Ovis aries: one gene and its partners. The protein of the gene in region 3 interacts with the protein of the main gene of each other region in a biochemical or structural test. Links are inferred from orthologs where the notes say so. Each region holds a gene or a part of one and is shown on either strand. Other genes may lie near its edges.

Region 1 (4,254 bases), on a different chromosome or scaffold from region 3:
AACTTTAGACCCAGATTTCAGAGTGGCTTTGCTAAGAAGTGGACTTCATAAAAGAGTACTTAAAAGAGCCAGGACAGAGTTGGACGGTTTAAGAACAGAAATATAAAGTGTATCTTTGCACATCTGGGTCACGGTGTGGTGTCAAAGTTTACATTTGCGCAATACTGGTTTATAAAGTTTATGCCCAGTGTTGTACATTTCTTGCAAGCCATCTTTAAAGGCAAGTGATGAGGTCATTTCCAGTTTAATATTCTCTAGGGGAAAATTAACTTCCTGTTTCTTATTTACACATGTATTACACTGAAAATAATTTTTGAACCTTTTGTGTCACCTAAAGGCTGAAAGAGCAGTAAGTTAATTTGATAGAATATAAAATGAACACCTCAGCTACACTGTGCTGTCCCAGCCGGGAGGGCATGCCTTGGATACTATGTTTCTGCCCTAAACATCTCACGGGACAGTATTCACAGAGAATCACAGGTGGGCTAGCGCGCCATTGCCAACATAGGAGGCCTGATCACCTGACCAAACCTGGCTGACCAGGATGGGAAGCTCTGGCCCCGGAGCACTGACTACTCGGAATAGAGCAGGGTGGGCGATAGGGGCGTACTCCGTCCATGCGCACCGTGTAGTAAAAGCAAGCGTTTAAAATTTTTAAAGTACGCGAAATTTAAGCACATTTAAATATCAACTACAAAAAACCCTCGCGGGCATTTGTTCCAGACCCTCCTCCCCGTGGGGTACACCGTGAAGCAAGCTCAGGCTCCTAGGGGATGCGCACCGTAACCGCCAGAGTGAGGTGAGAGGGTGGGGAACTAGCGGGCCTGCCATCGCGCAGGCGCAATTCCGGCCGCAGAGCCCGGTGGTCTAGCTTCCTTTCCAGTAATTTCGCTAGCCGTGACGTCATCCTCGTGCGCCCTTAACGGTGCCTCCCAGAACCCCCCCAATTTATTTTTTGGTTAAAGAGATAAGAAGGAATGAACTGACCTCTTCCACCCCACTTTGTTTTTAGTCCTTCACTCTGGACGCACCTACGCTTTGAGCAATGGAGCAGGAGAGGGAAAGAAAAGCACTCAGAGAACCAAACCGCGCCGGCCAGGCATGACTCGGCGACGTCGCCAGCCGCCTTACCCGGCGTGCCCCGCGCGGCGCGGGCAGAGCGGCGTAGGGGGAGGGGCGGGGAGGAGGAAGCGGCGGTGGCAGTGGCTGCTGCGGATGTCGCTGCGACTCATCGCCGTCTGAACACACAGCGGCTGCTGAGCGCCCGACTCGGGCCTGCGCCGGAGCCCACGCCAAGCTCCGCGGCTCCTCGCCCGCCAGGGCGGCCCTGAGCCAGTTGTCACTGAGGTAGCGTGCCCCACATTCTCCGCTGCCCGGCCAGGCCGGCTCTGGCGTTGCCTGGCTCCCGCTCCCTCACCCGCTCCCTCCTTTGCGCCTGAGTCACCGCCGCCGCCATGGCCGAGAATGGTGAAAGCGGCGGCCCTCCAAGTTCCCAGGACAACGCCGCCGCGGCCGAAGGTGCCGGCGCCCCCGCCGCCACCGCCTCCACGGAACCCAAGATCATGAAAGTCACCGTGAAGACCCCGAAGGAGAAGGAGGAGTTCGCAGTGCCCGAGAACAGCTCCGTCCAGCAGGTGAGGGCCGCGCTAGGCTCGGGGCGGGGTGGGGATGGCGGCAGGACCTCCGCCAGCGGCAGGAGGAGACTGTTTTGCAGGGGCTTGAGGGTAAGGGGTCGTCTCCGGAGGTGCCCTCGGCCATTCTCCGGGGTCTGATCCCAAATTAGATCACACCCAGGTTTGTGGGTTTGCTCCTGGGGACACCGCAGAGGTTTGTGGCGTGGCCTCTTGGCCTGTTTATGGGGCTCGCCGATGCCGCTCTCCTCGGCGCCTTCCTCTTGCTCCGGCGTCCGCCGACCCCAGCCTCCTCCCTCAGCTCCCCGCCTCGAGCCGCCTCCCTCTGACTCTGCACAAAGGAAAGAGACCCGCCGCCTGGCTCGGGCGGAGTGGAGGCTGGGCGAGGGTTTGGCTTAGCCCGGTCTGCGGTTTTGTCTCTTGAAGGGGGGGAGAAAAAAAGGGGGTGCTCATTGTTTTACCTGCCTGGGGATTAAAGTAGATTTTTGGGATGAGGAGCACGTGTGCATTTAGTTCTGCGTTTTGACCGCTGAAATCTTTCCCACCTTCCAGTCTTTAAAGAAAAAAATGAGCTATGACGTAGAAATTGCTTTCAGCCAAATCTTAATAGAACTAGGCTTAAGGAGAAAGGTGGATGACTTTCGTTGACGACATGCTGGTTCTGTTTTTTTTTTTTTTTTCTAAGTGTATTTGTCATTCTTTAGATGCCGGTCGTTGGGGAGGTTTTTGTTTGATTTTAGAGGAATAGCAACGTTATTCACATGTTAGCAATTGCAGTCAGATGAAAGAGCACGAACCTGGAGTTAATGGAGGAAATTTAAAAGTAATTTACCGCTTAAAATCTATTTAGGAATACAGTTATTGCCGTTAATTAATGATCTTGAGGAACTTAAATCATTTTAGTTTTTGTTAAATATACGTCCCAGAATATTTCCGTAATTACTGAATTGATCTCAGACAGTTGGTCAGCAGATACCAAGACAGTGTGAACAGTTTATGAAGAAGCAAAAATGAAACGTACCTGTAAGTTTCCCTGAAGGAACAATAAATAATTGCGATATTTGTTTATATGATTATGAACGGTGGTGTGTTCTGTCAAGTAGTAAGAATGTGTAGAAACTTTGACCACCTTTTGAATCCCTATTTTTTTGGTCTCTCAATTTTCCTATAAAATTCTCCCTTAATTTTTAAAGTATTTTCCAGCATACAGGAAAGTTGGAATAATTGTGCAGTGAACTATCATGTGTCCATCACCTACATTTAGCATCTTGCTTTATTTGCTTTATCAAACAATTAATCATTTATTGGTCAATTTTATTTTTTGGATGCAATTCAAAGCAAGTTGCAAGTAGTAGTACATGTTACGCTTTTAAACTGTGGTGTTGGAGAAGACTCTTTAGAGTCCCTTGGACAGCAAGGAGATCAACCAGTGCATCCTAAAGGAAATCAGTCCTGAATATTCATTGGAAGGACTGATGCTGAAGCTGAAACTCCAATACTTTAGACACCTGACGCGAAGAACTGACTCATTTGAAAAGACCCTCATGCTGGGAAACATTTAGGGCGGGAGGAGAAGGGGACGAAAGAGGATGAGATGGTTGGATGGCATCTCGGACTCAATGGACATGTTTGAGTAAGCTTTGGGAGTTGGTGATGGACAGAGAAGCCTAGCGTGCTGCAGTCCATGGGATCGCGAAGAGTTGGGTACAACCGAGCAACTGAACTGAACCATTGAGTTCAGGTTTTCAACTTAAAATTTTTGAAGGTAAATTTGACTTGCAGTGAAATGCAGTCGGTTGCCATTCCAGGAGTTTACACAAATACATACACCTGTGTAATCCGAAGTCTTCTGGTGTCTGCTTCTGAATGTGCTATCTAGGTTGGTCATAACTTTCCTTCCAAGGAGTAAGCAAGCGTCTTTTAATTTCATGGCTGCAGTCACCATCTGCAGTGATTTTGGAGCCCCCAAAAATAAAGTCTGACACTGTTTCCGCTGTTTCCCCATCTATTTCCCATGAAGTGATGGGACCAGATGCCATGATCTTAGTTTTCCGAATGCTGAGCTTTAAGCCAGCCTTTTCACTCTCCTCTTTCACTTTCATCAAGAGGCTTTTTAGTTCTTCTTCACTTTCTGCCATAAGGGTGGTGTCATCTGCATATCTGAGGTTATTGATATTTCTACCAGCAATCTTGATTCCAGCCTGTGCTTCTTCCAGCCCAGCGTTTCTCATGATGTACTCTGCATATAAGTTAAATATAGAGTTTCACATAAATGGTATACGGTATACACTCTGTTGGGTAAGGCTTTTTCATTCAGCTTAGGTTTTGAGACTCATTATTATGTTACTCCTTGAAAGAAAAGTTATGACCAACCTAGATAGCATATTGAAAGGCAGAGACATTGCTTTGCCAACAAAGGTCCGTCTAGTCAAGGCTATGGTTTTTCCAGTGGTCATGTATAGATGTGAGAGTTGGACTGTGAAGAAAGCTGAGCACGGAAGAATTGATGCTTTTGAACTGTGGTGTTGGAGAAGACTCCTGAGAGTCCCTTGGACCGCAAGGAGATCAGTCTTGGGTGTTCTTTGGAAGGAATGATGCTAAAGCTGAAACTCCATTACTTTGG
Region 2 (2,919 bases), on a different chromosome or scaffold from region 3:
TCTGTTTTATCATGATACATACATTACCAGGTTATCTATATTTCTATATTAAAAATAAAATGCAGACAAACTTCCTGTGATAGGATCAGGGCTTAATACATCCTAAAACTGAAGTAAAGCTAATACTATTTCAATTGGATACATTTTAACAGTTACAGAGATGGTTGATATCATAATATGAATCTTAAAGATCAAAATGTTTTAAAGATCAGTTCAAATATTACTTAAAATTTTCTTATTGCTAAACTTTGCTCATTGTTATAAAACAAGAATTATTGCACATAAATATTTTATAATCTGCATTTTATCTAATAAATCATGCAAGATGGCTGAACATTCAGCCCCTATGCAATCAACATGAACCCAACAAACCTAGTTCTATGAACAATGTCTAATAAGCATAGTGCTTAATGAAATTTGGTTATTAGAATTTATATCAGGAAAGAAAATCTGTAGTAGTTTATTGATTTTACTTGATCACTAATGCACTAGAAGTCTCTTAAATATCTCTAAATTTTTACATGACACAAATGCATAATAATTACAGCTGTGAGGCCTCTCTGGGTCATTCATTATTTTTATTCATTAAAACAGTTTCTATCATGATAATATGCTTTGGGGTTTGGAATCTAATGGAGAATAAAATCTTGAAAAAGTTGTTTTCAGAGTCAAATTCATAAGAACAATGTATTAAGAATGGAAAATTAAATCTAGGGTACAGAAAATGGACCCAGAGGGCAAACTAGGGAGGAACCGCCCCTTTTGGCATTATTAGCCATACCTCACTCCAGCTTTCTTTCATCTTGCATTTCTATGCCCCATTGCATCATCATCGTTATCCAGACACTGCACCAAAGCAAACCGACAACCCTGTGTAGGTTGCCTAATTACAGTAACCTGAGATTCAGCCACTTGGTAGCCAATTTTCCCCTTATGAAGGAAGGTCTACTAATGATTTGTATCATCATAATTATTAATACCTCAAAGGCAACCCCACCCAGAAATGCTGAGAACTGGTGGGACAGGACATGGGAGGTGCCAGTGTGTACCTTTAAATACCTATCATCACAGCACAGGCTCCCCTCTCTGCAGGCAGCTCTGAAGAGTTGTCAGCCTCTTCATTCTCTCGCTTGTACACCAGAGTCTGGTCTTTGTATTTAACTTCTGTTCACCCATCTGGAAGATTCTGGACAGGACCATGAGTGATGATGAGCTGTCTGCCTTGGTGGTGGATAATGGGTCAGGGATGTGCAAGGCAGGCTTTGGTGGTGACGATGCCCCCAGGGCTGTGTTCCCTTCCATGGTGGGGCGTCCCCGGCACCAGGGGGTCATGGTAGGCATGGGCCAGAAGGACTGCTATGTGGGGGATGAGGCCCAGAGCAAGAGAGGCATCCTGACCCTGAAGTATCCCATTGAGCATGGAGTGGTCACCAACTGGGATGACATGGAGAAGATCTGGCACCACACCTTCTACAACGAGCTCCGCGTGGCTCCAGATGAGCATCCCATCCTCCTCACTGAGGCACCCCTCAACCCCAAGATCAACCGGGAGAAGATGACTCAGATCATGTTCGAGGCTTTCAACACACCTGCCATGTACGTGGCCATCCAGGCTGTGTTGTCCCTCTATGCCTCAGGCCGGACCACCGGCATCGTGATGGATTCTGGGGATGGGGTCACTCACACTGTGCCCATCTATGAAGGCTATGCCCTGCCTCATGCCATTCTACGTCTGGACCTGGCCGGCAGAGACCTGACCGATTACCTCATGAAGATCCTGACAGAACGAGGCTACAGCTTCACCACCACGGCTGAGAGGGAGATTGTTCGTGACGTCAAAGAGAAGCTGTGTTATGTGGCCCTAGACTTTGAGCAAGAGATGGTCAGCACTGCAGCATCCTCCTTCCTGGAGAGAAGCTATGAGCTTCCCGACGGGCAGGTGATCACTATTGGGAATGAGCGCTTTCGATGTCCAGAAGCCATTTTCCAGCCTTCCTTTCTGGGCATTGAGTCCAGTGGAATCCACGAGACAACCTTCAACTCTATCATGAAGTGCGATGTGGATATTCGCAAGGATCTGTATGCCAACACCGTGCTGTCCGGAGGCAGCACTATGTACCCTGGCATTGCTGACCGGATGCAGAAGGAAATTGTAGCCCTGGCACCCAGCACCATGAAAATCAAGATCATCGCTCCCCCAGAGCGGAAGTATTCTGTTTGGATTGGGGGCTCCATTCTGGCCAGCCTGTCCACGTTCCAGCAAATGTGGATCAGTAAGCAGGAGTACGATGAGGCTGGTCCTCCCATCGTCCACAGGAAGTGTTTCTGACTGGGCTTCCATGCTAATGCATTGGCATTGTCCCCAAGTTCTAGATCATGGCGATAGTACTGCTTTTATCCACTTCCAATTGAGTCAAGGTAAATTTCCATTCTTGCTAGTGTGTAAACTAGCAAATTCATCTCTATCCAAGCATTGTGGGCTCCCGCCCAGCTAACGATATTTGACCTCTATCAACTTCTGGATAATTCTGATATTCTATTCTATTTTCTTTACCATTAGGGGTCAAAGAAATATAGACTTGCTTAAATGAAAATAAATGACAAGGAGTAAAGTGAGAAATGTCCTTCCAAAACAGATAACTAGAATTTTCAATCTTTAAATACTAGTTCTTGCTTTAAATATTTAACAATAGCAAGCTGTACAACCTGTAAAAAAAAATGTGTATGTATTTAGCAAACATGCCTTATTAGTTAGAATTTTGGTTTGTTTTGCTTCTTTGTATAGAGACAGTAAATTATATGGGTCAATGATATTCATATATTTATAAGCACTGAGGAAATAGAATAATCTATCTTAAAATATACTGATAAATCTGGCTATCTGAACAGCTAATGTGAATTTCTTAATTCCCCAACAGT
Region 3 (3,500 bases):
GTGTTAGTTACTCAGTCATGTCCAACTCTGTGATCCCATGGACTGTATCTGGCCAGGCTCCTCTGTCCATGGGATTCTCCAGCAGGAATACTGAAGTGGGTCACCATTCCCTTCTCCAGGGGATCTTCCTGACCCAGAAACTGAACCTAGGTCTCCCGCAATGCAGGCAGATTCTTTACACTCTGAGCCACTAAAGAGGCCACACACATATAAGTTTCAACTTCGATATTAAACAAAAGCTGGGCCTTGATACAATTTTAAAGTTCTCTCAATTAGGTTATGCAAATGCAAAAACATTTAAACCATTTATACATAAATTTATAAAAGCTGACATTTTTAATAAGAGTGCAATGTACTGGAAATGAGCAAATAAGGAAGTCTTTCATGTTTCCTATTCTAGAATATTTGGGAAGCTGCCTACCGTTATCTGTTTCAACAAAAATATCAGTGTTTCACTTGGTGAGCAAGCTATTGTACCAAATAAAAAAAGGAAAATAAACTCTGTATCCCAAGTTAACTAATATTTTATCAAAAATTGTATTAATATAAACATTGTTTTTAAAGACTTTATATATATCATAATTCCCATTTCCAGATGCATACTTTTCTAGTCAACAGAAAACACAAAACTGATTTCTTTAAAATATTTATTCTTTAGTACTTTTCAGATGTTTATTTAAGGCACGTGTATTTGTATGTGCATTAGAAGCAATTATTGACCATTTGGTTATAAGGACCCTCCTTGTTTCCTACCCCTCTACAGCTTAATATGAGAGACAGCCTTCTTCCTGCTTTACCCACAGCCACCCACATCTGTGCACTGTCGCCCACTCGGGGCCTCTCTCTCCAGGAGGAGTTCAGTGCCCAACCACGTGCTCTCATACCAGCCTTTAGTCAAGGTTTAAAGAACTGTGGCTATTTCATTTAATGAAAAAGAACTTAGTTACTTGATTTCTTTGTAGAGCTGACATTAGAAACTTCCTTAAAAACTACAAGTGTATGTGCTTTCCCTGGAGGAGGGCGTGGCAGCCCACTCCAGTGTTCTTGCTTGGAGAATCCCATGGACAGAGGAGCCTGCTGGGCTGCAGGCCATAGGGTCTCACAGAGTGGGACACAACTGAAGCAGTGCACGCACAAACGCACACATATACGCTTTAAAATTCTGTTATTAAAGAGACAAAGACAAGGATGACATAAAAACATTTATTACCTTTCTGTTTTCATTGGTAATTGGAATTTTATCACCATTTTCCTTTAGATCATACATCATCGGATTACCAAAAAGATCTGTCTGAGATATCTGGAAAGTGATCATCATATCATCTTCCACATTCCCTTCATACTCCAATAAGTCTTTTAAACTCTGATACAGAACCTACCAATCAGAAAAGGAAAAATTAAGGTTACCACACAACTATAAAATACAACAATCTGTATCACTCTTCTTGGGAAAAGATTCAAAAAACTAACAGTAAGAATTAAACCACAAACAGTACCCCTCTTCTAGTAGTTTCTATGCAGACATAAAGAAAGTCAGTCAGTCAGTGGTTAACGCGTCCCTCTGCTGAGAAACCCCACACCAGCTACTTAGCTATGGGTCTCACACTGTGCTCTACCGAGACCCTTAGAGGCATCTCAAGGGTAAGGGGGGGGCTAGCTGCAGCCACCAGAGCCACTGACTAAGGGCAGCTCTGACTCAACCCAGCAATCTCATGATTCCATTAAAAAAAAAAATTAGAAACACTTTTCTACAGAATCAACCTTGTAAAGCTGACTTGCTTGTAACAAGTTCTCCTTCAAGTTTTTAAGTGTTTATGGCATTTCAGATAGATAATAAAACAAGTTTATCTCACTAGGTATAAATATTAACAAAGATTTCAAATCAAAGCTTTAAAAATTTTATATAAATTAAATTCTGTATTTGCTTTTAAATAAAATCTAAAAGAATAAAAAATGACAAGACTTACAGGATGAGAGTCTCCCAAGTCAAGAAAAGTTCCTTTTTTCCCCATTAGCTTCCTGTAGACAACCATGGGAAAATGTACATCCAGTATACAGTTATTGTAAATAGCCAAACCCAGTACTATGCCAATCAGAGTGAACTGACCCTCAGTTTCAAAAGAGGATGGATTAAACCAAAACAACTTTGTAGATTCATCATATGTGAACATACCTGTAAGAAATGATTTTTTTAAATGCATTACTTTCATATTTTATTACAGATGAACAAATAATTATACATATAAAATACAAAAATAAATATAAAATAATTACACATGTAAACTTATTTGCATTAGGGCTTTTTTCTGTTATGTCAGGACTTACGAAAACAAAGTTCCAGTACATATGAATGCTACAAATTGTATAGCATATATTTAAAGTAATAAGCCATTCTGTTGGCATTTTCTAAGTTAGGAAAACTGTTCATTAAATTCAAGTTCTCTAATCTTCTATTAACATGAATCAGAAGTTAACTTGCATTCATATTTTTACCACTGAATGGTTGAAAAACGCAAAAGAAAAAAGAATCATATTTTGAAAATGTTCCACTTATTAAAACATATTTAATCCACATGCATTGCTTTAAAAAACAATTTTGAATTTCATTAAGAAAAAGTCTTTTTCCTCCAAATTGCATAATGGTTCCATGAAGTTTTTCAAGCACCTTTTTAACAAAGATACCAAGTACTTAAACTCAGGCAAACTTGATAAACTTATGCCCAAAACCAAAGCCATTTAATATACACATTAACTGTGAGCCAAAAAGTAAAACAAAACTAATTTGTAGTCTTCTTTTAATTTCACATGGTCTTCACTATTTATATCACTCATTTAAAAATAGTAATTAAATAGCCATTACCATGGTAGACTTATCTCTTTCCTTGTAAAGAAATATCTAAGATAAATGTAAAATGATATTTTAATTGACTTAACAATTTCATTTTACTATAAAATGTTTTGTAGTTGCTACTGTGAAACTAAATGAAAATATTTCAAGAATTAGATCTAGGAAAGAGAGGGAAGTTCCAATAGAATAAACTTTAAAAATCAACATTTTTTAAAGAAATCAACCAGTTTTTAAGTTTTTTAAACAGTTTTTAAAATGTTTAATTTTCACATTTAGTTGAATTTAAATATAAAGGGAAGTTTAAAGGGTCCCCTTGATCCTAAGAACATGAATTTAAGACATTTTTCTAATGCAACTTAATGTTCACGAAACAAAATTTTATAAATTACCTAATTTATACTTGAATCTCAGTTTATATCCAACTTTTTTTTACAGGCTGAAATTACAAATCTAGTGAAGTGCTAAAAACTTCATTTAATTACAAATATGGTATTAACTGGATCAGAACAGTTAAGAAAAGCTCCATAAAGGGTGGCTCTTCTAAAATATTCCTTTTTGGTATTTCTATTGTCATCATTTTAACTGATTTACTATCAAGCAAAATTGTTTCATGTATGTTTTTTCTTAAAAGTATTTCTGCATATAATGTAAA
Region 4 (4,044 bases), on a different chromosome or scaffold from region 3:
GAGGAAATGGCAACCCACTCCAGTATTCTTACCTGGATAATCCCATGAACAGAGGCGCCTGATGGGCTACATTCCATGGGGTCACAAAGTCGGACACGACTAATTATGCACGCACGCACGCTGAAGGAAGAGGCATCTTGCTACTCTGTTTCAGGAGATAAGGTTCCTTTTGCACTGCCCAGAGGGAATCCTCAACCTGGCTGTGCCCCAGATTCCTCATCTGTAAAATGGGAATGATGATAATAATACCTACGTGAAAGGAGTGTGGTGCGAAGTAATGTATGTAACAAGTGCCAGCTCTTACTGGCATGAGGCCAGGGTAGGCACCCAGCAAAGAGGTGTCTACTGAGGGCCCCACTCCCAGAGCCCAGCATCCTCCTGAAGCTCCTCCAGCAGGGTCCCATCCTGGACCCAACCCTGCTGCTGCTATCCTGCGCCAGGCCTTATGAATGACGACGGCCGGCAGCCCGACGACCTATGACCCGCGGCGCCTGCCGCGCCCCTCCCCCGCTTGGCAGGTGGACAGCGGCTGCGCCGGGGCTGGGGTTGGGGGGGCCGAGGCGCCAACCTTGGCTGGCCCGCAGCCGCTGCCGCACTGAACGGGGGCGGGGGACTGCGGCGCGCACGGGGCCGGGCGAACGCCTGCCTGGACCGCCTCCTGGGCCTCGGAGCGCTGCGCGGCCGCCGGCCAGCGGCCGCCGGCGCGCCGGGGCAGCAGACTGCGCCTCCGCCCCGCCCTCTCACCCAGGGATTGACACTGAACGTTCTGCCGGGGCTTGCCGGACAGCGCGCCTCCACCAATTGGTATCCTCGCTGGGCGGACCCCGGACCCTGTCGGAAGCCTCCGCCAATCAGACGTGTTAGCCCGCCCGGTTGGGGTCTCGCAAGCGCTCGAGTGGCCAAGCGTCCTAGGAGCGCGTCATGAGGCCGAGAGCCTATGGCAGCGCGGGAGGGTCGCGAAGGGCCAATGAATGGCGGCGCAGCGCCGTCAGTCAGGGCGGCCTAGGCCAATGAGCTGCGGGCTGCGGGGGCGTCACGGACAGCAGCAGCGGACTTGGGCTGAGGTTCCCGGGCGGGCGGGCGCGGAGAGACGCGGGAAGCAGGGGCTGGGCGGGGGTCGCGGCGCCTCAGCCAGCGCAGCCAACCCGAGGGGCCGCCGCCGCCGCCGCCCAGCGTGCTCCGGGGCCGCGGGCCGCCTCCAGCACCCGCCGCGCCGCAGCTCCGGGACCGGCCCCGGCCGCCGCCGCCGCCGCGATGGGCAACGCCGCCGCCGCCAAGAAGGGCAGTGAGCAAGAGAGCGGTGAGTGCCCGGGCCGTGACCCCGATCCCGGCCTCGCGCTGCCAGCCTCCTCCCTGTCCATCACTGCTTGGCCCCTCCCCCCACGCCCCCCCCCATTTCTCTCTGCTTACCCCCAGGCGCCCCTTCCCCCTGCCTGTCCAAGGTTGGGGCCCGGGGCCCGCAGAAGACCTCGTAGGAACCCCGTTGCCAAAAACCGCCCCTCCACTGCAAAGACTGTGCTCCCCCCTCAGCTGTCACTGCCAACCATGGCACGTATGACCGCTGGGCCCCCACATGGGGCCCTATCACCACCCCACTCCGTACTTTCCTGGCCCCTCTCCTTAGGTTCTAATCCCCCCCCACTTCCTCACTCACCTCTTCCACAGATGAGACTCACTGCCAAACCCCGACCCAGGCTTCTGCCAGCCTGGGAGTGCTATGGGGTCTGCCTCCGCCCAACAGGGACCTTGGCCACTTGGTGACCACACCCCTACCCCCTCCAGCCCCCGCCATCTTTCTCCTGCCCTTCCCCTCTTCACCTTATCACAGCCCCTCTTCAAACCCACCCTTGAGCATTTCCCAGAGCCACTTCCAGCATTGTTTTTCCCTTCTGTGTCACTTGGCATGGGGGACAGGCTCTTTCTGGGTCCCTCTGCCCCTCTCTCATCCTGTCACTGTCACTGCTTCTCTGCTTGTGCTTCCTTCTCCAAGCAAGCGTCTGTCCCTGGCCGGGGTCGCACACTGTTTGTGAACCTAGAGAACTGCTTCTGTGCTTGCGAAGCCAGGTTTGAGCCAATCGTGCTGGAACTCCATGCGTCCTCTTCCTTGGCTTTGGGGGTGAGGGGTTTCAGCAGAGAGCCCCTTCCCATCTCCTGCTGTGCAGTGAGCTCTAGGCTCTTTGGAGGGCCCCTCAATAAATGGTTGTGTCACAACTGAGGCTTGATCATTCACCCAGTCCCTCAGGCTTCTTTACCTGCTCCTGGCTTGGGATGAAAAGTAGGGGATTAAGAGTGAGTTTACCAGGGCTCATTCAGCTAGAGCTGGGATGGTGAGAAAGAGGACTCAAGGGATGACAGTTAGGAAGAGTAGTGGGTGACATCTAATGACTCGCTTTGCCAAGAGACAGATTCTGATCATCCCCAGGGTTCACCCAGAGGTGGCCCTGTTTCCACCTTAAGCCCCCAAATCATATAGGCCTTTTCCAGCCAGCCAGGGAAAGAGATTCTGTACCTGGAAATGCCTTCAGAAATGGTCTTGAGCTCCTTCCTCAAGTCATCCAGCTCTCAAATTGTCATCACTCCAGCCCTAAAGTTGGGCCTCAACTAGGATCCTTTTCCAGTTACCCAGAAATAGAGTTGAAAAGGAATGGCCACATCCAAATATGCCTTTCCCAGTTATTTGTCTCAGATCCCAGTGTCTGAGTTCCCTGAATGCTCCCTCCCAGAAAGACCCAAGCATGGAAGCCAGGGAACTTTATTTCCACCCAGATTCAAATAGCAGAACTTATAGCTGCTGAGCAGCCATGGAGAAGCCTGACATGTCACTGATGGGCGGGGGAAAGGGAGGCAAGTGCCTGTAGCTGAGCGCTTGATGACAGAGGAGCAGGTGGGTAGTGACCAAAAATGGTCTGGGCATGAGCTTGGAGGGGATAGACAGAAGGGGAGGGGCTGGGCCCCCAGCAGGTGAGGCCCGCCCAGAGGTAGAAGGTAGAAGCAGGCAGTTGTATATTTCAGTGACTCAGTTGAAAGTTGGGGAGGTGCCATAGTCCTGGAAAACTTTCAAGGCGTATCAAACACATGCAGTGGAGAGAGGTGGGGTGGCAAAGCCACACAGGGAAAAGGATTCCCAAGAAAAAGATCAGAAGCTCCAGAAGGAACCGCTAATTCAGAGTACAGGCTGGACAGCCAGGAAGGGACTATCAGGATAAAATAGAGCCACTATTTACTGGGCAGCTAGGATGTGCCAGGCTAAATGGTCTTCATAGATCTTTCTGCTCAAGTGATTTTTCATAACAGGCTGTTACCTGAATTTTACAAATGAGCTCTCTGAGTTTGACATAGATGATGCCACAGAAGCAGGATTCACATCCATTTCCATCTACCAGCCAAATTCCTGGACCCCAGAATTTCCCAACTCAAAGCTGCCCCCCTGATTTTTCACTATATTCACTTCTATTTTGTTAACGGAAATAAAAATTTTGACTCACTTTTGTTCAGATGTAAGTTTTGATCTGTCCTGAGAAATAATATAAATGAAATCATGGGATTGCTATACCAGTTATATTCTCTCTGGTACACCTTAAGATACAGTGTAACTAGAAAGGCAAAATATCCTTAACATCAGTTCGTCCCCAGCCAGTGGGACCTGGTTACACTTTGGGAAACACCCTAAGCTGTACTTCCTTCCAGAGATTTGCAGGGGCTGTTGGAGAAGGAGACAGGATGAGTAAAGAAGCCCTTTTTTGCTTCAAAGCTCCTATTCTGAGAGGATGGAGTTAGGCAAAATTTGCCCTCTCCCGCAACTAGGATGGGGTGGGGGTAGGGATAGTAGCCAGGCCAGCCTTCAGGGGGCACCTGAATTTCATCTGCCAGACATCAGCCCAACTAGAGTAAGGAAAGTGCCAAACCTTAGTAGGCACCATTTGGCATCCTGGAGCCCCCTGTGCTGCCGTCTCCATGCTCGGGCAGGACAGCCTTGGCCTCCTCTCAAGAGGGCAGGAATTTAGAACCAGCCCGGGGATGGGGTGGGGGAAAGTGTTAGTCACT

Evidence for each region.
Region 1: the proteins of UBE3A (region 3) and UBQLN1 form a complex in vitro, tested with the Homo sapiens proteins (2 studies listed by BioGRID, with this or other methods). The link is inferred for Ovis aries from reciprocal best matches to the Homo sapiens genes UBE3A and UBQLN1.
Region 2: the proteins of UBE3A (region 3) and ACTBL2 form a complex in vitro, tested with the Homo sapiens proteins (2 studies listed by BioGRID). The link is inferred for Ovis aries from reciprocal best matches to the Homo sapiens genes UBE3A and ACTBL2.
Region 4: the proteins of UBE3A (region 3) and PRKACA form a complex in vitro, tested with the Homo sapiens proteins (2 studies listed by BioGRID, with this or other methods). The link is inferred for Ovis aries from reciprocal best matches to the Homo sapiens genes UBE3A and PRKACA.

What each region holds. Positions count from the first base shown.
Region 1 is NC_056055.1:36,050,383-36,054,636, forward strand, and holds the start of UBQLN1 (ubiquilin-1), read left to right. Parts: upstream 1-1,454; coding exon 1,455-1,634; intron 1,635-4,254. UniProt on the Homo sapiens protein: Plays an important role in the regulation of different protein degradation mechanisms and pathways including ubiquitin-proteasome system (UPS), autophagy and endoplasmic reticulum-associated protein degradation (ERAD) pathway.
Region 2 is NC_056069.1:21,992,623-21,995,541, forward strand, and holds ACTBL2 (beta-actin-like protein 2), read left to right. Parts: upstream 1-1,198; coding exon 1,199-2,329; 3' UTR 2,330-2,419; downstream 2,420-2,919. UniProt on the Homo sapiens protein: Actins are highly conserved proteins that are involved in various types of cell motility and are ubiquitously expressed in all eukaryotic cells.
Region 3 is NC_056071.1:1,627,715-1,631,214, forward strand, and holds part of UBE3A (ubiquitin-protein ligase E3A), read right to left. Parts: intron 2,174-3,500; coding exon 1,968-2,173; intron 1,376-1,967; coding exon 1,211-1,375; intron 1-1,210. UniProt on the Homo sapiens protein: E3 ubiquitin-protein ligase which accepts ubiquitin from an E2 ubiquitin-conjugating enzyme in the form of a thioester and transfers it to its substrates.
Region 4 is NC_056058.1:9,913,766-9,917,809, forward strand, and holds the start of PRKACA (cAMP-dependent protein kinase catalytic subunit alpha), read left to right. Parts: upstream 1-1,244; 5' UTR 1,245-1,254; coding exon 1,255-1,300; exon of another isoform or gene 1,301-4,044.